Arabidopsis thaliana: one gene and its partners. The protein of the gene in region 1 interacts with the protein of each later gene in a pairwise test. Each region holds a gene or a part of one and is shown in the gene's direction. Other genes may lie near its edges. The genes, in order: LBD26, NF-YC13 and LRL1.

Region 1 (8,218 bases):
ATACATTGGTCTCTTCCCCATTTTCCACACAATCCCTTCAGCTAAATGTTCTTTGTTCGGTGTCAGCATTACAAAGTTTGGATCAGCTCTTTGGTAACTGCAATTTCACAAAATAAAACAATGTGAAGAAGATCATGAAGCTAAAGAGGGTTGATTTAATTTTAAACTTGTCACAAATGGACTGACCTGGCTTCTCTTAAGTTATCAACACGTAGACCGAACCCACATTGGACATTTCCAGTCCTATGATTAGTTGTTGCTGCATAAAAAATGAGTCCAAACATGTTCAAATACCAAGAACCTATGTTCATCTTGATTTCGCTGCATTCAGGTTATTTATCAACGCATACCTGAAATATTGAATGCGAAAGACGGTTTCCACCACGACTTGAATGCTAATGACAATGTTGAGCTATGAGCTCCGACTTTACCCTGCAAAAGTTGAAAATGTTACATACTGAGCAAAATTTGAGATAAATGGTTTCTTTTTGAGTAACTCGATAAGGTAAATATTTTTTTATACCTTCAGCAAAAAGTTCTTGTTGGCCTGCCAAGACGCAGCCACCTGCAATAAAGAATCTGGGGCATTGGGTGGCGTCTTGGAATCATCAACCCTTCAATATTAAGACGAAATATAAAGTTCTGTTTCTGTATAGACAAACAGTAGCTACAATGTTTTTTTTTTTTTTACTTAGAGATGTTCACTACCTCGATTGTAGCTCAAAACCAAAATCAATGTAGTTTGTGATTCCAACTACTTGGTTTTCTTCGAAAGGATTTTGCACCTGTTCCAAGTCCATTAAATCGATTTCATATTGAGCCAAAGATGTGCTAAACTTTATATATGGAAGACTAGTATAAGATGCAGCACAGAAAAAGGACTTGTTTGAAAGAGTTGTACCCGTCTTTGGACCACTACGTGTTGGTAGAACGAAGCAATAAACTGCATTTACAAGAAAGATAACATAATCAGCAAGACTAAAAATGCTACAAAATGGATGATATGCCATTAGATAAATAATGTGGTCGTTTGTCAAGTTCCATGAGATACTGAAAAATTGTTTGGGGTTAAGACTTGTGCATACAGACAGCAAAACAACATGTTTTCATCTACACGGATTTTAAAAGAATCACCTGAGAGCTTCTTGCTAGTTCAATGCCAATGTTAAAAGAAGGAGTCAAGGGGCTTTGTGACCCTACTCCATAGCCAGCAGCACAACTCCAGTTTCTTGGGTCTGTGTACTTTGCCAAATCTTTGCTTCCATCTAAAACAAAATCCAATAACAATTGTTGATGCTCACTTTCTTTCAATCACATAATTTATAGATACTAGTTTCCACATGTGATGCGTAAAATCTGTTCAACAGAAATAAAACAATGTAAACTAACTCACGTAGCGGCTCATATTGTACTCCTACTGTAAGACTTCCCATCTTGCTTACAAGCCATGCATGCTTTGGCAATTCGTTATTCGCTGAATTGAAGAATCAAAGGGTCAGCATTGTGTCCAAAAGAAAACAACGTGAATTCACAGAGCAACTTTATGCGCTTACCACTAAAAGGAGTGACAGTAGCTCCGACAGACAAATTCGTTGAGCCATATCTCAACCCCATGATTCTATATTCTTCAGATGATTTTCCACTACAGAGACAACATATATTCACCCTCACAATATTACATCTAATCTAAATATAACAACAGGGTACACACCTAGATACGACTTACGTAATTTTTGAAATCAAAGGGTAGACCGCAAATGCCCCGATTCCATATTTAGGATAGTAAGCAGAAGACCTCATTAGAAGAACCCTTAATGATGATGACAAACAAAACAAACAATTTCAAAACATTAAACTACTGTAATGAACATAACCTCCAAGAATATATCAAAAGTAGCACAAAGTTTACGGATTCGAGGTTGACACAGAGAGATCAACAAAAGTATGAGGATCATCAACATCACTGCATATTTATCAAAAACAAACTAATCAGTATTCCAATTCTCCAACAACTACTTGTAATCTTTCAGATTAAAAACTAAAGAATCTATACCTTTGCCAGCGAAACTCCGCATTCCCAACAAAATCTCCTTCCACTCTACCATCTACAGCACCCGAAACCTTTAGACTATTAAGGAAAATTCTGATTTTCTACATATCCCTAATACATCCATTTAGAGAAAATTCTCGAATCATCACTATATAGAAACTAAATAACACAAAAGAGATTTCAAAATTGGATACAGATGCAACCAAATCCACATGAGGATCATCAGTAGGCTTCAACAAAAACTTGCCCGTGAATCGATTAGCTTCTTCAAAGTAATCCTCAAATAGACATCTCAATGCAAGCTTCCCAAACAACAAATTATATGATGATTCCAACATCCTGCATCAACAACAACAACAATTTCTCACAATCGCACAATTACAATTTAACCTATAAATCAGAATCGATCTATTTGATTAGATTAGGTTATACAAAAACTACTTCGAAATCACGCGATTCTAACAAATTGAAAGTATGAGGATCAGATCGGAGAAGAAGAGGAGATGGTAGACCTAGTGCGGGCGGAGAGAGGAGGGTAATCAAAGAGCGGAGGAACGAGTACCACCGGAGGCGGTGGTTCTTTTTTGACAAGAGCATTCCCCATTGTTCTAGAACGGAGAAGAAGAGATTCTGCGACAACGAGAGAGCTTCTTCGATGAATTCAATAGTTAGTGAGAGCTCTCGGCGATAGTCTCGCTTCTGCTTTTGCTTCACGTTTGAATATTTCAACATTCTTCTATATTAAGACTTTATATAGTAATAAACCTAAGCGGCGCTTTAAATTAACCGACTAATCCAAAAAAAAATCTTTAGAAACTAGACATTATCTTTGTAAAATTTAAATATTAAATTATTCGTATAATATTTTTTTCCCAATTTTTTGGATATTATTTATTGTTGTATACAATTTGTCAAGGTTATGGAGAATGTGTTTATGACAGTTTTGGTAATTGCAAGATATTGTGATGCATATGTGAATGTTTTGAAACCATATTTTAAGATAACATTTTATTAAATTTCAAAATTTTGGTTCTCTACACTGCTACACAACTGAAAAGTTGTTTTTGTTTTGAGATATTTTTTTCTTGGCAATTCGTGGTGACGATGATGTTGATTTGGAGTTATTGCAGCTTCTAGTGGTGGCTTTTCAAGCCTCCAAATCATCAGTTATTGGCATTGGTGGTATTTCTTTAGCTCACTGATATGTTTTGGTTTTGCCTTGATGTTGATGTTGTTGTGAGTTGAGGTATTAGCGTTGCAATGCGTTTGCTGCCTAGTGTTGTGTTTTTACTATGCACTAGTGGAGGTAGTAAGACTAGAGCTGTCAATTGGTCAAAAGGACCATGGGCTCAGCCAAACAAATACTATTACGAACATTTAAAATTTGGCCAAACTAAAACATGGTTTTAGTGGACTCAGCCCAAATAGATCTGCAGTTAGAGGTGGGTTTGACCATTTGGTCAATGGATAAGTCCACCAATTAATTATTTTTGCAATCATCTGTCTTCTTCTCTTCTTCTTCTTTCGTTTTTTCTGAAATCGAATTGGAGAAAAACACAATTGAGAATCGCTTCTAAATTCAAAGCTCTAGATTGTCTTCTTCCTTTGAGGATCGTCTTCTTCCTTCGAGGATCGTCTTCTTCTTTTGAGTATCGTCTACAATGGGTGATTTCTTTGATGAGGTACGGTCTCTTATTTTTAGATCTGGGTTTTGGTTCAGTCATTCTGTTTCCTTTAAATGTGACTTAGCTATTCATGAAAATTATTTTGCAAGATAAAAAGTTAGTATTTGTTTGTTGTTACTATAAGTTTATGTATTGAGAGATAGTTTTTAAACATCATTATCACAATGTTTTATAATATGAGTCAATGTTTTGTTTTGTTTAATTGTTTGAGATAATGGATAATGCTATTATTAACCTGAATGATGAAAACAATACCAATAAAGATTTGGAAGAAGATATGGATCATGAAGGCACTCTTCCTGAGAAAATGAAAGGTACATTCAAGCCAATTCGCCCTACCCGTAGAGTTTCTAAGTGTTGAAATAAATTCACAATAATTGGAGAGAAGTTACCTACTAGTGAACATGATATTAGATGCAACAAATGTAAAACACACTATATATTGAATCTATATAGAAATGGAATGACAACGTTGCTTTGTCATATTAGAACGTGCAATGGAAGTACACAGACTGTTCAAAAGCTAGATATTTTTTTCGTATACTGATTGCAATGGCCATTATTGAGCATGATTTACCATACTCGTTTGTTGAGTATAGGAGGATTAGAATGGCTTTTGGTTATGCTATTCTACAATTCGGTTATAGAGTAGAAACACAACATTTTAGATTAGTATTATGATGTTAAACTTTTTAAAACTATTTTATGATGACTAATTACAATGTTTGTCATGGTCATTTTAGATTAGTATTATGATGTTAAACTTTTTTTTTATCTCCATGGACATATCCAATTGGTCTTGGTCACTCTTGAACTTGGTCACTCTTTGGCTTGGTCATTTTTGTCAACAGAAAAAAAAATGTCCAACTGGACAAGACCATTTGGTCATGGTCAAGCCCAATTGACAGCTCTAAGTAAGACTAATGGTGTTTGGTGTAGCTCTGAGTTACAAAATATAGCTTTGTACTAGTTGCCTTTGGCATTGAACTTGGTAGAGAGAACTTACACCGTTTATATATATATTTTTTTTGTGAAATTCCATTCTGAAGTCGCTTATGGAAATGTTCGACGAGCAGCTCTCGTGTATGAGAGCTGTGGGTGCTTCGCCGTTGACAACTTAGTCTTGGACTTTCGTTGAAAGGTTTCTAGTGTTTTTTATCTTGGTACTTCGGCTCTTATAACTTGAAATTAACATTTGTCTCAAACAACAATTTTAATGCCAACACTAGAATCATCATCACTTCGTATAACTCTATTAGTTTGTGTTTCTGTTGAGTAGATGGACTGAAAACCATGTCTCTGATTTATTCTTACGTATTTTTAATTTCTTTGCCATACGACCATTTTATAGGTAGGTGTACAATCTTTTGATTGTAAACTTAAATTGTTTTTATTTTTATAATAAAACATTTACATATTTAGCAACAACAAAAGATTACGCATTTTTCATATCTTTAACCCATAATGAAGAGGCTTGTTGGTGGTCTATGCGTTAAGTTAACAAGTACTATGCTGCTGCGTTAGTTTTATGTTACACACTTGTGCAAGCTCACAATGTTAAACGATTTCGGATAAAGAATAATAACACTAAAGCATTTTGATAATTTTGTGGTGTGGGGGAGGGGGATGCAACAAGGTACGTCAAAGTATTAGAGGTGGTGTTGCTCTTTTTTTGGGGAAAAAGCTCCATCTTTCTAATTTCAAATGACTTTTTATTTGCTAATTGCTTCAATTTCAATTTTAAGATAATATTTAAACAATGAGAGTAAAATTTAAAATTCAGAAAATCGGGATCTAATTTTACAATAAAACATAATTTGTAGGGAACAAATTTTGAGGGCCCTAGTCCCAAGTTTCGATATGCTACACATCGCGCCGGCTTTAGGGTATTGTAATAAAATAGCGAGTTAATCATTTTCCGATTATTTTTATGTTTTTATTAGACTTGCTTATTGAATAATTCCTCTTATGTAGTTGTTTTCTTTCAAAATATTAAAACAAAAACGAAGTCGTTTTTCAATATACAAATATAATCAAAGTCGTTTTGATTTAATGAAAAGAAAAACCCTAGTTTTCTCTCTATATATATCAATGCATCCGCCTCATCTTTCTTCCACTATATTCCAAGTTCTGAAAAAGTCTCCACATAATCTCCTTCGTTGGTAAGTGTGATTAATCATATATTTTTGTTTCATATTTTTGTATAGAAAACATAAATCTAAATATATAGTGTTTATTAGATAATTTTAGGAGGCTATATGAGTTGTGTTTATCTGAAAGGATTTCTATCAAAATATATGAGATATACTAGATCTAAAATATTTCGATATACAAAGCACTAAAATTCCAAAAAAATAATTTCTACTTCTTATTTGTGTATAATTATATTATTTAAGAAATTAAAATTGTATTGTAATTGCAAACTTTGATGTCTTATGTAATTTGTATATCATTTTTCTGTTTTGCAGTTATTTCGAGAAAAAATAGGCAAAACAAAATGAATGCAAACCCATGCGAAGTTTGCAGGTTCCAAAATAAACAATGCGTCAACAACTGCATGTTTGCTCTGCTATTTCCTTCAAGTGATCTAGAGAAATTTGATGTCGTCAATCGCATCTTTGGACTCGAAACTTTGACATTCTACCTCAAAGACCTTTCACCTATGGAACGCATAGATACTACCCGCACACTCTATTACGAGGCAAAACCATGCTTTCTGAACCCACCCAAGAACCCCTCAAAATTCCTCGAAGCTCTTCTAAATTATCCTTACCAAAAAGCTGAAGAGGTGTCCAAAACAAAGAAGTTGCTCGCATCTTACTCGAGACCATGTGTAGTATTGGCTCTTCCTGCACCAAAATATACTCAGTCGAAATCTAAACCATCTGTTTTGCGCAAAAGAAAAAGAAAGACTAAATCATCGGATGAATCGGCCATTCGTGTGGTTGAAGATTCCTAGATGGTCATTGTTGAAGATTTTTTTTTCTTTCTAAAAGTGAATCTTTGGAACCAAATATGCTTTTAATTTAATTTCAAATAAAATAAAATATGCTTTTATTTCTATGTATTTTGATTTCTTTTTCTTGATGACTTATCTTTCTTTTGAATTATTTATGGATTTTATCAAAGTATATATTATCCATTACATATACTTAATTAGCGTAATTGTAGACTTTTTTTTTAGAAAATATTTTTAACACATCCAGATGTTTGCACATATCCTTTCATGTTTGATTACCAAATTTTCCTTTTTTATGGTCAACATAAGAAAAAAACTTACTATTCATGTGTTAAATATACTTACATTATTGTAAATATAAATAAATAAAATGTAAAAATTCATGAAATTCTATCTTAAACTTTATTAGCATTGGCTAGCGTGTCAAAGACTTTTTCATATTAGACTAGGTATTTAATTATTAGATTTCATACCTTTTCTGTTTAATTATTAATTTTCCCCTTTTAATGGTCAACAGAAAAGAAAAGAAAAAAACTTACTATTCGTGTGTTAAATCTACATACATTATGGTAATTGTAAATCAATAAATAAAATGTGAGAATTCATGAAATTCTATATTAAAACTTTATAATATTGACTCTTTTAACAAAAAAAACTTTATTACATTGACCAGAGTTGTTCAGGACTTTGTTTTTATATTAGGCTAGGTATCCAATTATTAGATTGCATACCCTTTTCTGTTTAATTACTATTTGTTTTCCTTTTTTATGGTCAACAGAAAAAAACTTACTATTCATGTGTTAAATAAACAATACATTATTGTAATTATATATAAATAAATAAAATGTGAAAATATATGAAATTCTATCTTAAACCTTATTACATTGATTTTTTTAAGAGTTTAAATGGGTGCTTGAACTTGCTTTGAGATATAGATATTGTGTTGGAAATGAAAAGGTACTTGGAAATGCTTAGAACATGAACTTAAGTGGAGATTTGGTGATTGCCTAAAAAAAATATGGGAGATTTGGTGATATGAGTTTAGTCTAGGGAAGCATTTGTCTTGAGTTTTTTTTATAAGGAAAAATATATAGCGGAGTTTATGTAGGTTTCTAATTTATGTTGTTTTAGTATACATGAATTTAAAAGAAATCTAACTTCTTTCAAATTTAACTGCTTTTAGTTCAATTCTTTTGAATTTGTTTAACAACGGTTGCACAAATTGTAAAAACATTATTTTTTTTTCCAATTTAATTTAACATTACATTATTTTATATATATATATATATATATATATATATATATATATTTAGAAACGTTGTAAGTATTTTCACGTTTGGTCTCGTACCCAATTTAACATTTTACCGTCACTTTAAGCATATGTGTTTAGCTTCGACAAAACGTTGACATTGAGCTAGTTAGCCATTTGATCTACAAAATCATAAAATTTGACTGCAAATAGTCAAGCAAAGTGTCCCACGTGATTACATCAACAACTTGCTATACAAACTTTGATAGATCTAT
Region 2 (5,979 bases), on another chromosome or scaffold:
AAAATAGGAGGATATAATTAATCAGAACTTGAACCATCACTCTTTCTACATTTTTTAATTCAATATATCCTTTTTAATTTTGAGATCCAAACATGTTACACATATTCCTTGCCTAAAAATTACACGATTATTATGAAAGAAACTAAATGAATATGCAGATTAAATATATCTAAGCTTTTCAAGATTTATGCTAAGAAAACAAGTAATTTGAAAGATGTTTGAGGAGTTATCCTTAAAACTAATACGTAAGATAGAAGATTATGACAAGAACTTAACTAAACTTTCCAAGAACATCAAGTTGAATATGATTAGATTGGTTATGCAGAGACATGGTTAATAAAAACATGTTATATTTTAAATGTAAGAAAGAAATTTTCTAAAATTTCACCGTTTCACAAACTAAATATATAACCAAAAGAACAAGGATATATAAATTAAAAAAAAAAACTGAGAATCTAGAACAACAATAAAAAATAACTCAAGCATTTTCGTTTTCAGATGAACTAATATAGTTGGACTTTTTGAAAACAATTACAAATCATATTTATGTTTCAAAACCGATGCATTTAACTTTACTTTATATGAACAGACATTATATAAAACAATTTGTAAATAGTAATACATAAACCCGCACGTAGTGCGGGTACTCATCTAGTATACAATAATAAAAACTTCAAAATGATGCAACAATAGCTCAGAATCTTCATATATGGGCCACTCGGCCCACGCCGAATTTGAAAAGCCCGATATTGGAAGTAAGCACGTGCGGTTGTGAGAATTGCTTCTTCGTCCACCATTGGACATGTTTATGGCTGCGTTCGACGCGTGATTTGTTTGTGGAGAAGAGTGCATCGCCTGATAATTCAAGCAACCTAGTTATAGTACAAACGTGAAAGAAACAAAATTAACCCAAAAAATGAAATGGAAGGTTACAATTGCAACCCTTGCAAGATAGTACAACAATATAATAGTAACAATAGAACAATAAACCCTAACCAAACAAAGTAAGAATTACATTCCTCTAATTTTAGTGCATGTAAGTTCGGTTATCACTGCAAACTTAATCATTTCCCTATTGACTAATTCGTAACATAGTTTATACTTTCGATTAATCAATTAATTAATTTACAGTGAATTTGTGAAAAACTTCTAACGAGAAACTTATTATGTTATAAAAGTCAACAAAAGAACTGTATCACACAGAACATATATATTGGGTCTGATTGGTAACCAAAAACTATACAAGTTATTTAGCTGTTAGCTTTATCGGAATAGTGTAAAACTGTTAAAATGAGCTGTACAAAAAAACTGAGAGTAAATTTTTTTGTAACGCTTTTGATAAAGTTTTTGTGATTAGTAACTGTCAAAATTGTATTGTTATTAAAATGGTTACCATTCAAATCTATTAGGTAAAATACAGAGCCGTCCATAAGTACAAGCGGGTCAAACACAAGCTTGTGGCCTCAATTACTATAAATAAAATTTTGATTTTTTTTAGTAGAAAAATTAGTTGCTTGCTTCTTTGATGACAAAAAAAAAAAAGCAAGCAGTCAGATAAATCAATGATAATCTAAAAAAAAGAAAAATCTGACGAAAAAAAAAAAGAAAAAAAAGAAAAATCTGAAGGTTGTACACTTGTAGAAGATATTTTACACACACAGCCCAATAAAAACCCAAATCCAAAAACTGGAGTATCCAAAAAAAACACGGCTGTTTCATTCATCTCCTCACACAACAACTTAACCCTCACTAGCCCACGTGTTTACTTTCTCAACCATTCCCTTATCTCCCAAAATTGTATTTACTTCAAAAATAAACCGAACCGTATCAAATTAAAACAAGACCACACTTTTGTCTGAACACAAAAAAAAAAAAAACTTTTATTTTTTCCTCGAGACGTCTCTCTTCTTCAATTTCTTCACGATTCTACTTTTGCGTTATCCCCAAAATTGGCAACCAAAACCAAACCTCTCTCTCTTATTGAAACCAACAATGAGTCCGATCGTCATAACCCAGTTAGCTACAGGAATCAGCGTTTTAGCCGGTGCGGTCTTTATCAAATCAGTCATGGACCAAAAGCCTATGGCTGGTCAATTCCCTCGTTGTCCGACTTGTAACGGTACTGGACGAGTCACGTGTTTCTGTTCTCGATGGTCCGATGGTGACGTTGGATGTCGTAGGTGTTCTGGTTCAGGTCGTGCGGCTTGTAGCAATTGTGGTGGTTCTGGAACTGGTAGACCTTTACCGGCTCAGATTACGGTTCAGCCACCGAATCGTCCTTATTGATGATTCTCAAGAAATTTGTATACTTTGTAAACGATTCTTCTCTCTTGAACTCTCTCACTCTCTGTCTTGTAAGTTGATTATATATATATACACATAGATGAGAAACAGATTTGATAGCTTCTGTGATATTTTTTCTTGTGTTGGGTTGTTTTGTTACTGTTCATAGTCAAAATATTCGAATTTGTCATTATTGGTGGCTCAAATCTTTAGTATTAACTATTAAGAATTAAGATGATGGGTTTGATCCAATGATACGAAAAGTTAGCTTCTTCTTGTATATTGTTGTAAATGGACTTTGTTGGATGTGTTTGGTTCATGTCTAGTACTCAATATGTGACCATGAGATGTTTCAACAGCCTCTTGTTCCAATGGTATGAAATTGGTTCATGTCTACAACCTCAAAACGTTGTAGAGGAAGGAGTGTTGTGTGTGAATTTTGTGAAAAGCTGCGAATAGTAAAGAGGAAACGGATTAGTTATAACAAATTAAACAGCTACAATTGTAGTAGATGGTCTCTCAAGTCTCAAGATTAGAAACATCTCGGAGCCAAAAAAAGGCTTCCTACAGCCATATAGAAGTATAATCTCAAATCATTATCCACACTTGGAACTATCTCTAAAGCTCATTTGTTATTTGATGGCATTTCTAGTTCGATATGCCACTCCTTAAATCCGTTGCGTTCGTGAAGGATCAATGGGGTTCAATTCAGGTAGCTAGGAGATTTGTACCAACTTGTAGCTTTCTAGAATTCCTTGTACAATGTGATCCAAGTAAAAGAAAGAATCGGTTAAAATTTTCAATATAAAACTTTAAAATAGACTACTAGTACTAGTTTGAGCTAGACAGTGACTCATGTAGAAACAATCTCTACAACATAAAAATCTACGAACCATACCGGGTTACCAAACGTTCTTCTCAATCTCACCAATCGGTTTAAGCTGAAAACCCGAATTAGCAAAATCTTCGTTCGGGCTGTTTTGGTTAATCCGGTTTACATGTTTTCTCATTGCTCATTTTCATTTTCCCGCCGTGACAGAGCGCGTAAATCTCAAAACCCTAAAAATGTCGAACATATACAATTCATTACCTTAATCAGATTTTCTCAACAGAATCAAAATCAAAATCCATGGAGGAAGAAGAAGGATCAATCCGACCAGAGTTTCCAATCGGAAGAGTAAAGAAGATAATGAAACTGGACAAAGACATCAACAAAATCAACTCAGAAGCTCTTCACGTCATCACTTACTCCACCGAACTCTTCCTCCACTTCCTCGCCGAGAAATCTGCTGTTGTTACGGCGGAGAAGAAGCGTAAGACTGTTAATCTCGATCATTTAAGAATCGCCGTGAAAAGACACCAACCTACTAGTGATTTCCTCTTAGACTCGCTTCCGTTGCCGGCTCAGCCTGTCAAACATACCAAATCGGTTTCCGACAAGAAGATTCCGGCGCCGCCAATTGGGACTCGTCGTATCGATGATTTCTTCAGTAAAGGGAAAGCAAAGACTGATTCAGCCTAAAGTAAAATTTCTCATTTTGTTCACAATTGCAAATTTTACTCTGTTCTCAAATCAAAATCTTGTTTTGCTAAAAGTGTAGTGAGAATGTATGGATCATGAGGAACTTTTATAGGAATTGGTAATTTTAAAGATGTTGTGTCTATTAGCATTTCTACTAATTGGAGAAACTGATTCTTGTCCTGTGACTGTGAGATACATCTCATTGTGTTGCTTAGAAATCTCTGCATTGCTCTAACTTTGGTGTGTAGAGATTGAGAGAGAGAGAGAGAGAGGTTTGGGATGTGTATTGTTCTTCTAAGCTATTCTTATATGAATACTACTTTTGAGTGTTTATGTTCTTCTGAAAGAACATGGCTATAGAAGTTGTCGCCGTTACAATAGTATGTTATACTTTCTTTGATTGTGAGCTAATAAGCGCGGTTGTGACCGAGCAAAATGAAAGCTTTTGCGGAATGTATGTTTCAGTTTTCTTTAGTTTTTCATTCTGACAAGTTTTCTAGAGTAGAAGTGAACCAGTCTGATGGGTAAAGTCTGAAACTTTTAACAAGAAAGTGTGATATTTCTCAAGATCACTATCCATGGTTACATTTCTCAATAACTCCTCTCAAACTTCATCTTATATCATCTGCTTTGTAGTGTGGATTTGGTATATGTTCTTTATTTGCTTTTATGGTTTCAGACCAAGTCTAGTGGTATTCAATGATGACTTGAGTGTCCAAAAGCTCTTATTATGTTCTCGGAATTGTGAAAGAAAAAAGTGATTATGTTGACATATCAAATTGATTGAATCCAATGGAACATCCACTTTCTTTAATATTCCGTTTAGTTATTATGAGAACTTGAACCGTTATAATTAAACAACATAAACCAAGCAATTGTGTTCTTTTCGGAACTTGTGGTACATGAACCCGGCGAATTGGATTTACTTCGTTATTTGTTGCCTCTTCCATTCCCGAAACCTTTAATTAAGGCCTTTGACCATGTCTTCTCTAAACTGTTCCACTTCCTCCACTTAAGCTTTATATAAAACCTCAAGTCCTATGAAAAGAACACAATTGCTTGGTTTACTCTAACAAGGTAAAATCTTACGCAGCATATATAGATCATATTGTTGAATATTTATGAAAGTAGTTTTTCCAAGAATTGATGTGTTTGTAGTTTCTTCTGTTTCTAAGCACTAGGAAACCATTTCTTTGATGCCACGTTAGACTATGTTCTTCTGAGGTTTTTGTTCATTGTTAGCCTCGTTACGTATTTTAGCATGTATGATATATGAACAGACTCCGCTCTGTTTAGCTTTTATAAAATTGTTACCTATTTATACAAAATCAATGTAGCTATCGTCTCTAACATGGCTGTGTAAAAAGTGACCTTTTTCATTGTATCAGTGCAGATTTTGTATCAAGACATGTCAGCTACTTTGAAGAATCCGGTGATTAAGTTGAAACTACTCATAGATGAAGAGAAAAACAAAGTTGTATTTGTTGAGGCGGGTAAAGATTTTGTCGATTTACTCTTTAGTTTTTTTACTTTGCCAATGGGAACGATTGTTAGATTGCTGGAGATGTATAAGAAGTCACAGAAAATAGCAATAGGCTGTTTCAGCAATATATATGCAAGTGTTGTGAGTATGGGCATTGAGCATTTCTTGACTGAAGCTTGTAAGCAAATGCTTTTGTATCCGGGCAGTTTGAATCATGAGAAATGTCGAAACCTTAAGCTGAGGGTAGATGATTCCGAGGCTACCAAGTATTTCGTGTGTCCTAAGTTTGTGGAACGTGAGCAATGTACTGAAAGTTACAGCAATTTTAATACCTCGAGATGTAGCTGTGGTGTTTTGATGAATGAAGTGACTCAGCTTGATGGAAGAGGAGGCCTAGCCAGTGCAGGAAATGGTGTTGAAGGTGGAGTATTTGTTAGGAGTGATCATACTTCATTCATGATCACTGATGATTTGAAAGTGGAAATTACCTCTGTTAGGTTGACACTTAATGTTCTTAAAGATCTTGGCTACGTAGATTGTGAAAAGTTGGATGAGAAGATTCATGACGTTAATCTCGAAGAGGTATTATTTTTCTTCAGCTAGACTTTTAAACTTCATGCTCTTATGCTATTTTCTCTTAATTTTTGTAGGTACCGACTTTGCTGGAGTGTTTGTCTACATCGGATAATCC
Region 3 (8,394 bases), on another chromosome or scaffold:
TTTGCAATTAATAAATGAATGTAATTAAAGCCCATCTTTCTCCCTTGTGAGTTTGTGCAAACACAGAATGTCCCATGTGCTTAATCACGCAGAATATGAATATTTCTTCTTAAATAAGACTAATCCCATTTAAATATACTATTTATATAAATATATATCTTCCATATATATACTGAAGAACAAATACTTATATGTTGCATTGGTTTCCTGGCAAAAACAAAATCTAGTTTATTTGGACCAATATGTACTTGTTTCATACTCAAATCTACACCTCTTTTGTTTATGATCTAAATAAATTTTTAATGACTTAAAATATTACGTAAAATTTGTTGTTACTTAATCAAAAAAATTTTAAAGTTTATTAAGGTTTGGTGTTAACAGTTTAAAACTTTTTAAAAATTATCTAAAATCTTTATAAAACTAAAGTTATTGGATTCATACTTTTATAAAGTCATTGTTATTTAATTGAAACAAAAAAATGTATGATTGTTAATCAATTAAATTATTGTGTTATTGGTTTATGTAGACATGGACATTTGTCGACCAATATCAAAATAGAGATTGTTAAAAAAAGTTTACAAAATTGTAAAAAATTAATCAATAATATTATAAAAACTCTCTACCAATAGTTTAGAATCTTTCATTAATTTATTTATCTTCTATGATATTACTAAAGTTATCAAAAAAAATTGTAAAAATTATAAACCAATAAAACCTCCTAACTGAAGTTAACTTATCTTCCAATATTGTTTATCTTTCTAACAAACCTTTAATATAACTATGGTTTGATTTTGTTCATAAAAATATTGATATAACAATTTAACAATGATTATGGGTTGTTATACTCTTTTTTTCTGTTTTAAGATGGGTTGTTCTGCTTTCTTAATTGCCGTAGAGAATGTGCACATTCTATCGAAAGAACCGTGAAAGTTTGAGGCTTCTAATGTAACATTCTATTGATTAAATTAAAGACCATTAATTGACCAAATTGTGACTTGTGAGTTGTGAGTGACACAAAACTGTAACATTCTATCGATTAACCGAAAATAAAATTTTATCATTTTGAAACCTATAACTCGGAGAGTGGAAAGTGAACACGCCAACACAAGACGTGTCCATTTAGATTGTTGGATATAACTTGTAAAGCTCGATATGCATGTATACGTATTTATATGCGTAATATGCAATACACACATGCACATACGTAGACATACATGAACGTAGATGAGCCTATATATGTTTGTTTAATCGTTAAATTTTTGAAAGAATTCTGACTTGGGAATATTATTTCAATGAACTTATTCCATGGTACGAACCACTACATACATATATGCATGAATGTGCATTATAACATGAGAAGATACATGCACACAGTCACACATATATGATTTTTATAAGTATGCTTTCACGAATTTTGTTGTCTATAACTATAATTAAGAAAATAGCTATGAATTGAGATAACTTTTCAAAAAGAATATTTTAACAAGAAATCAAAAAATATTTTATGATAATGAGACGTAACTCCCGTAAGCATTTATTATGATTTATTTTATTATTAGAAAACTTTATTGTGAAAAAATGCAATTATATAAAAAAAATATAATGAATAGAGAGATTTTGTTTCATTAAAATGTGTTCATGTTAGCAATTAATGGAAAAGAGGAAAACAATATTTCTGACTACAAAATACAGACCTCGAAACCTTAAATGTATTAGTTAATGAATCCAAATGAAGAAGTGTCAAACATCCGGACACAAAAATTAAGTTTGCAAATATTTTAATGTTATTATTTATCCCAAAAAGAGTATATGGTGAATGTGGCACAATCTAAAGAAATACCAAATTTTCAGCTACATATAAAAATAAAAAAAAAGAAGAATAATAACTATCTATTTATAAAGAAAAAGCTCCACGTCGTACGTGATTAGCTCAAAAGATAAGTTATCATATTGATAGGGAATTTCATTTTAAAAAGTTATTATCATATTTTGTAATTATTAATTTACGAGTATCGTCTTTGGGATAGGATGTTTGTGATCTTGGGGGCATAGAAAAAAACAGTAGAATTTCGAGAGCTCTAGCATCATTGATGAATGTACCTGCTCGAGTTTATAATTTTAGACCATTGTCAATTATCATCGTGAAAAGATTATTAAAACATGAATGTAATATTTCATTCTCGGATTGTATTAATAAATATATAATATGTTTCATTTTATGAGTAATTTTGTACTATACATAATTCAGTTAATGATCAATTGCGGAAAATTCTAAATTTTTATATAATGAGAAACTTATTTACAATTTTAAAACTTATTTAACATTCGTATATATGAGTTGAACAAATGCACCATGTGTGTGTGAACAAATTTGCAGTACCATGTAAAACTAATTAGCTTACCAAGATGGACTACAAGTGTTTTTGGTCGGGCTAGAAGTAAATGGGTTGGAAACTGGTCATAGATATGGGTAAACGACCAGCGGCTGTGCTCTTTTAACCATCTCCTAAATTACTTTAATCCAAAGCCAATATTTTTTGATCATTCTCATTAAAATGGTTGGTTTTCCAGTGAATTTTGAAGTTAAGGTATATCTGTAGATAGTCAAGTAGCTAGATTAATCATTGGGTAACACTTAGGTGGTCCGAGACCATTTTGGGTAGCTCCAATGTACATCTCTTGAATTCCATCGATCCAAAGGGTCGTTTGGTTTCATCATTCTCCTTAAAATGATGTACTCTCTGAAAAGAAAAAAAATAGGTTAACGTCGTTAGGTCGAATGGATTTTTCAATGGGTAAGTAAGTATTTTTGATTTTGGTATGGTTCGGATAAATTCACGTTTATCCGGCTAAATGGCTCGAACATTTTGAATTCCACCCAAATGGTTAATCAACTTCTTAGGAAAACCTTTTGAGTGAATATCCAAGCCTCTATTTAATCGATCAGATCTAGGATTGGACAAGGATATCCTCCTTGTATTTGGTTTTTGGTGGGACTAATTAGGTAACTCCTTGGTCCATGTAAAATTTTTAGAAGCCACAATTGAAACGTAAGAAAGGCACTAATAATCACGGGCATGCCATCATCACCCATATACAGTATAATATTTATATAAGATTTTTTACACATATTAACAAAACACAAAAATCTCATTTAAATTATTTCCTTTCTATAAAAACATTATTAATTACACCTAATTTAATTAATAAAAAATATGTAACAAAATATAATTGATCAAAAATATTAAATATATTTAATTTTTGTATAGAAAAATGAAAACAACATTTATTTTACAACAACAAAACAAATCATTAAACTACATGAAAACACAAAAATAATAAAATTGCTAAACAATAAATGTTATCTAAGAAAACTATAATTGTATACAAAAGCTAGCTATTACACTTAGCACCATATAAATAAACTTCTTATCCATCAATGTTTAATATATATTTGTATAGTAAAATAAAACTAGTTTGCATCTGAAAAAGTATAATCAAATAAAACTCTTTAGATAGCAATATGTACATTAAAAAAAGACTTATTTTCATACGTATTAAGCTGTAAAAAATAATGATTAAGATTTGGGGTAAAGAGAAACCAAAGTTTAAGACGGAAACGAAACAAAAGATGATAATCATCGATTCATCATCACGATATAATATGGGTTGCTAACCACAATAGAAAAACAAAAGTTCTTTTAAGGTTTTAATAATATATCACCAAAAATGATAATTAAAACCTAAAATTAAAATAATATATCTACAAGACTACAACAATTCTGCTTTATAATAAAGCTATAAACCTCAACATTTTTCAACCTCTTCCCAAAAAAAAGTGTAGAAGCAGAAGAAACCCATCATCATCATGATGAACTCTTCTCTTCTAACTCCTTCTTCTTCATCTTCTTCCCATATCCAAACTCCATCAACAACTTTCGACCACGAAGACTTCCTCGATCAAATCTTTTCCTCGGCCCCGTGGCCCTCCGTCGTCGATGATGCTCATCCTCTTCCCTCCGATGGCTTCCACGGCCACGATGTCGACTCAAGGAATCAGCCGATCATGATGATGCCTTTGAATGATGGCTCCTCCGTCCACGCTCTTTATAATGGCTTCTCCGTCGCCGGATCTCTTCCTAACTTTCAAATCCCTCAGGTATAATCTCTTTCTCTTTTCTAAGTTTTTCTCTTCTTGAAAACGAGACTTATGGTGAAATATAGGGATCGGGAGGAGGATTGATGAACCAACAAGGACAAACGCAAACGCAAACGCAACCTCAGGCGAGCGCGTCTACAGCTACTGGTGGTACGGTGGCGGCTCCGCCGCAGAGTAGGACTAAAATCCGAGCTAGGAGAGGTCAAGCAACTGATCCTCATAGTATCGCCGAAAGGGTTAGTTGTTTTTGTTTTTTATTTTACTTTGTTCGATGCATTAATTTGTATCAGTTACCGAGAAAGGTGTCGAAATTGAATTTTTTTTAGCTTTTTGAAGAAAAGATTTGAGTATTTTCTGGAAAAAATGTTTTTATGGGACAGTTACGAAGAGAGAGAATTGCGGAAAGAATGAAAGCTCTTCAAGAACTCGTTCCTAACGGCAATAAGGTAAATTTTTATTCAATTCATTTTCAGTTTAGTTTCCAAAAATTAAGATTAGTTAAAATATTAAATGGATCATTATGAAAATAAACTTCACTTTCCATCATTTTATTCATCATCCACTCTTGATTCGTGCGATCCATAATTCCATCTAATTTACAATTTAAACTCCATCGTCTATTTATAGTTCTCATCTTCTAGACCTAAAATTGAAAAAATACAAAATAAATAATGAAAATAAGTGTCGAAATGATCAGGAACTTTCTTGGAGCTAGTTGTTCAAGAGATAGTTTTAGGCTGTCAACTAGAACTTTCAGGAGTTAACAAGTAAATTTATATTTTTTGTTTTACTCATATAATTGGTGGTTGTGTAGTCTATCTATATATAGGAGTAGCTAGTAGTATATATCAATCAAATGATTAAACACTGATTAGCTAATTAATTAATTAGGCTACAATAATAAAGTTAACTAATGCAGTAATAAATGAGTTAGGATCTCAGTTCTGACAGTTTTGTTTTTGTATTTTATTTGTATAATAATGGACAGACAGACAAGGCATCGATGCTCGATGAGATCATAGATTATGTCAAGTTTTTACAACTCCAAGTCAAGGTGAATCTCTCCCTCTCTCTCATATATTTACAGTTATTATTTTATTAAGTTTGTTTTTCATACGTACAAGGGGTAATTCTTTTACAGAGTGCAATTTGTTTTATTTTATTCTCTTCAATATAGATGGAAGATTCGTTTTTTTGCCTTTTAGTTTGACATATTAAACAAAAAGAAAAGCTGACATATTAGTACAATCTTTACATACCAATATATCAAATTTATGGGCCTCTGCAACTAAAATTCCTTATGCTCCCTCCTCAAATTTTATATATACATTCTGGATTATTATGTCATATAAATACATACATGATAAATAATGTTTTTAAGTTATAAATTAGTGGACCAGTGTACTTAATCATTCTGTTTTGAATTTAATTATGCGTTTTAGGTACTGAGCATGAGCAGATTGGGAGGTGCTGCTTCCGTTTCTTCTCAAATCTCCGAGGTAACTAATATATTACTATCTCTACGTACTCATTTTTCATAAATTTCAATAAACATCAAAGCCAATGGACAAAATTAAGAAATTAGACAATCACTTTTCTCTTATAATGTTAATTAGATTTTACAAAATATTATTTTGGTGTGTAAAAATAGATAAATCGTGCAAGACGTTGAAAACAAAATGAATGTAAAAAGTTTCCAGAAACAGAAAACAAATAAGACAAATTTTATAATTCTAAAATAGAGAAATATAAAAGAGAGCACGCGTGCCGACTAATCACTTAGGGTTTCGCTTTCTTTGTCTTTTTGTTTTTCAAAATGTTTTGTTTTATTTTGCTTAGGCTGGTGGATCCCACGGGAACGCATCCTCCGCCATGGTCGGCGGTAGCCAGACGGCCGGAAACTCCAACGACAGCGTTACAATGACGGAACATCAAGTGGCCAAACTAATGGAAGAAGACATGGGCTCGGCCATGCAATATCTTCAAGGGAAAGGTCTTTGTCTCATGCCAATCTCTTTAGCCACCGCCATCTCAACCGCCACGTGTCACTCCCGTAACCCTTTGATCCCTGGAGCTGTTGCCGACGTCGGAGGTCCTTCCCCTCCCAATCTTTCTGGCATGACCATACAGTCGACGAGTACAAAAATGGGTAGCGGTAATGGGAAATTAAACGGTAACGGCGTGACCGAGAGGTCGTCTTCTATCGCCGTTAAAGAGGCCGTATCCGTTTCGAAAGCGTGATAACGGCCGTTTACTTTTGGGGTTAGGCAGAGAGATACCAAAAACAAAGAGAAAGTGGGGTGAAGTGGGAGATAAAGTCAAAGTCTACGAAGAATGAGGTTGAGGTTGTTTGATGTGTTCTCTGAACGAAGCCATATTTTTCGTAGAGTTTTGGTTCTTTTACCTACGCACTACAAAACCATTCAAGGGACATTTCTTTTTCTTTTTTAAATATATGGTTGCAATATGTTTTATTTTTATTAAATAAAGTTGGTATCGTTGATCTGAATATTAGGCTAGAAAAAGAAAAAAATAGTATATTGGTTTTTCACTTAGAGATGGAGTTATAATCTCGTCTCTCAAATCTCAAATATTGAATCCAAGACTTTAGATGTTTATGGATCGCACAAGTCTAAATATTAGGATATGAGTTTGAAGAATATACAAATTCTGTACAAAACAAAGAGGTACGTACGTCTATACATTTTCACTATAGACATCAATCATCATTTAACAATTTTACAGTAGCAGTCTGTTTAAATGGACCTACTCAATACTAAAAAGTCTAAAACATTTTCTTAACTTGACACCATTAACTTTTTATCACAACACACGTCTATCTCAAATCCACACTACAAAATTAATTTTTCTTTTTAAATTACATCTTTGATCTATGAACACAACCTAGAAACCAAAACGTATTCCATCGAGGAAACTCTAGCTCGCTAATTAACAAAACTTGTTTTTTTTCTCTTTTTTTTTTTCCTAAATATTTTGGCTAACCCAAACAAAGCCTGTCTCTTATGTAAAAAATTCATGTCCTCATTCCCTTTTGCCAAACTAGCATATTTCCTACTTTCCATTAGGAAATTATTGCTCTCTATACAACCCAATATTTCAATATATATTTATCATATCTTTGAAATATCCTTATGACTCTCTTTTTGTTTAATGCCTTTCCTCTTGAAAATATCTTCCTAAACACTTTGAGACGTGCATACTCTTTCATATACAGATCGATTTAAAGAAAAATAATCTTAGCAAACGACATTTCCAAATTAAGGGCCTGACTGGTTTAAACACAGCGGATGCGGTTGCGATTGCGGGAGTTTGCGGAAACGGACGGTTGCGGTTTTAAGCGTTATCAAGAGTTTTGAACGACTGGTTGAGCGTTTGATAATGGGTGCGTTTGCGGGGTTTGACTGGTAAACCAGCGGATGCGATAGTAATTAAATAAAAAATAACCAAAATAAATATAATATATTACTATTAAAAGAAATAAAAATACAATATATTATGATAAATTTATAATATTAGAAAATTTGATTTTCTGACCAAATAAAAATACAATATATCATCTCGTCCGACCAAATGATTTCTAATCGAGAAAACAAATCGAAACATGTATTCAATCAAAAAACTCAAAAGAATACAAAATAAAATAAAAACAACGATGCTATGAAATAGTTAAAGAATTACACTAGGTAATGAATGAATAAAAGGATAGATGATACTTATGTTTGATTCTTGATTTTGATTTTCATCGGATGCCATAATTGAGACAATACGATTACAATATATTGATTAAGGTTTTCTAATAAAAATCAGATATATAAAAGATTAGATTATTTTAATTATAGTAATTAGAGTTTGGATGGAAGCCACAATTATTTAATTTAATTAAAAAATGATATTTTTTTTTAACCTAACCGCTACCGCTCGCAACCGCAAACGATTGCGGAAAAGAGTTTTTGAAAAACGGGCGATTTCGAGCGGTCCAAAACGATATCTAACGATTTCTATGATTGGTGTCAATCGCTAACAAGCGTTTGCGGGTGGTAAAGGGAGAACCAATCAAGCCCTAAGTCTAATACATTATTTTTAACTTTGAGTGTTTTCGAGCAGCCTCTCTATTTTCAATTTTCCATTTTTTGAATATCCAGGCGCTACATGTATCGGAAATGCTCCCATTCGATCAAAGCCAATCGCTTTAACCTTGCAATCTATTGCACAAA

What was found.
Region 2: the proteins of LBD26 (region 1) and NF-YC13 interact in a two-hybrid assay, tested with the Arabidopsis thaliana proteins (one large-scale study listed by BioGRID).
Region 3: the proteins of LBD26 (region 1) and LRL1 interact in a two-hybrid assay, tested with the Arabidopsis thaliana proteins (one large-scale study listed by BioGRID).

What each region holds. Positions count from the first base shown.
Region 1 is NC_003074.8:10,369,665-10,377,882, forward strand, and holds LBD26 (LOB domain-containing protein 26), read left to right. Parts: upstream 1-3,586; 5' UTR 3,587-3,732; intron 3,733-5,338; exon of another isoform or gene 5,339-5,621; intron 5,622-5,875; exon of another isoform or gene 5,876-5,897; intron 5,898-6,203; 5' UTR 6,204-6,232; coding exon 6,233-6,694; 3' UTR 6,695-6,797; downstream 6,798-8,218. Other genes in the region: AT3G27930 (beta-galactosidase), read right to left, coding at 1-97, 187-259, 351-432, 524-614, 709-785, 902-943, 1,135-1,265, 1,394-1,474 and 6 more.
Region 2 is NC_003076.8:17,354,000-17,359,978, reverse strand, and holds NF-YC13 (nuclear factor Y, subunit C13), read left to right. Parts: upstream 1-3,272; 5' UTR 3,273-3,412; coding exon 3,413-3,805; 3' UTR 3,806-4,134; downstream 4,135-5,979. Other genes in the region: AT5G43260 (chaperone protein dnaJ-like protein), read left to right, coding at 1,993-2,286; AT5G43240 (hypothetical protein (DUF674)), read left to right, coding at 5,214-5,870, 5,939-5,979.
Region 3 is NC_003071.7:10,317,652-10,326,045, reverse strand, and holds LRL1 (LJRHL1-like 1), read left to right. Parts: upstream 1-3,622; 5' UTR 3,623-3,868; coding exon 3,869-4,159; intron 4,160-4,188; exon of another isoform or gene 4,189-4,224; coding exon 4,225-4,395; intron 4,396-4,539; coding exon 4,540-4,605; intron 4,606-5,147; coding exon 5,148-5,213; intron 5,214-5,601; coding exon 5,602-5,658; intron 5,659-5,998; coding exon 5,999-6,400; 3' UTR 6,401-6,833; downstream 6,834-8,394.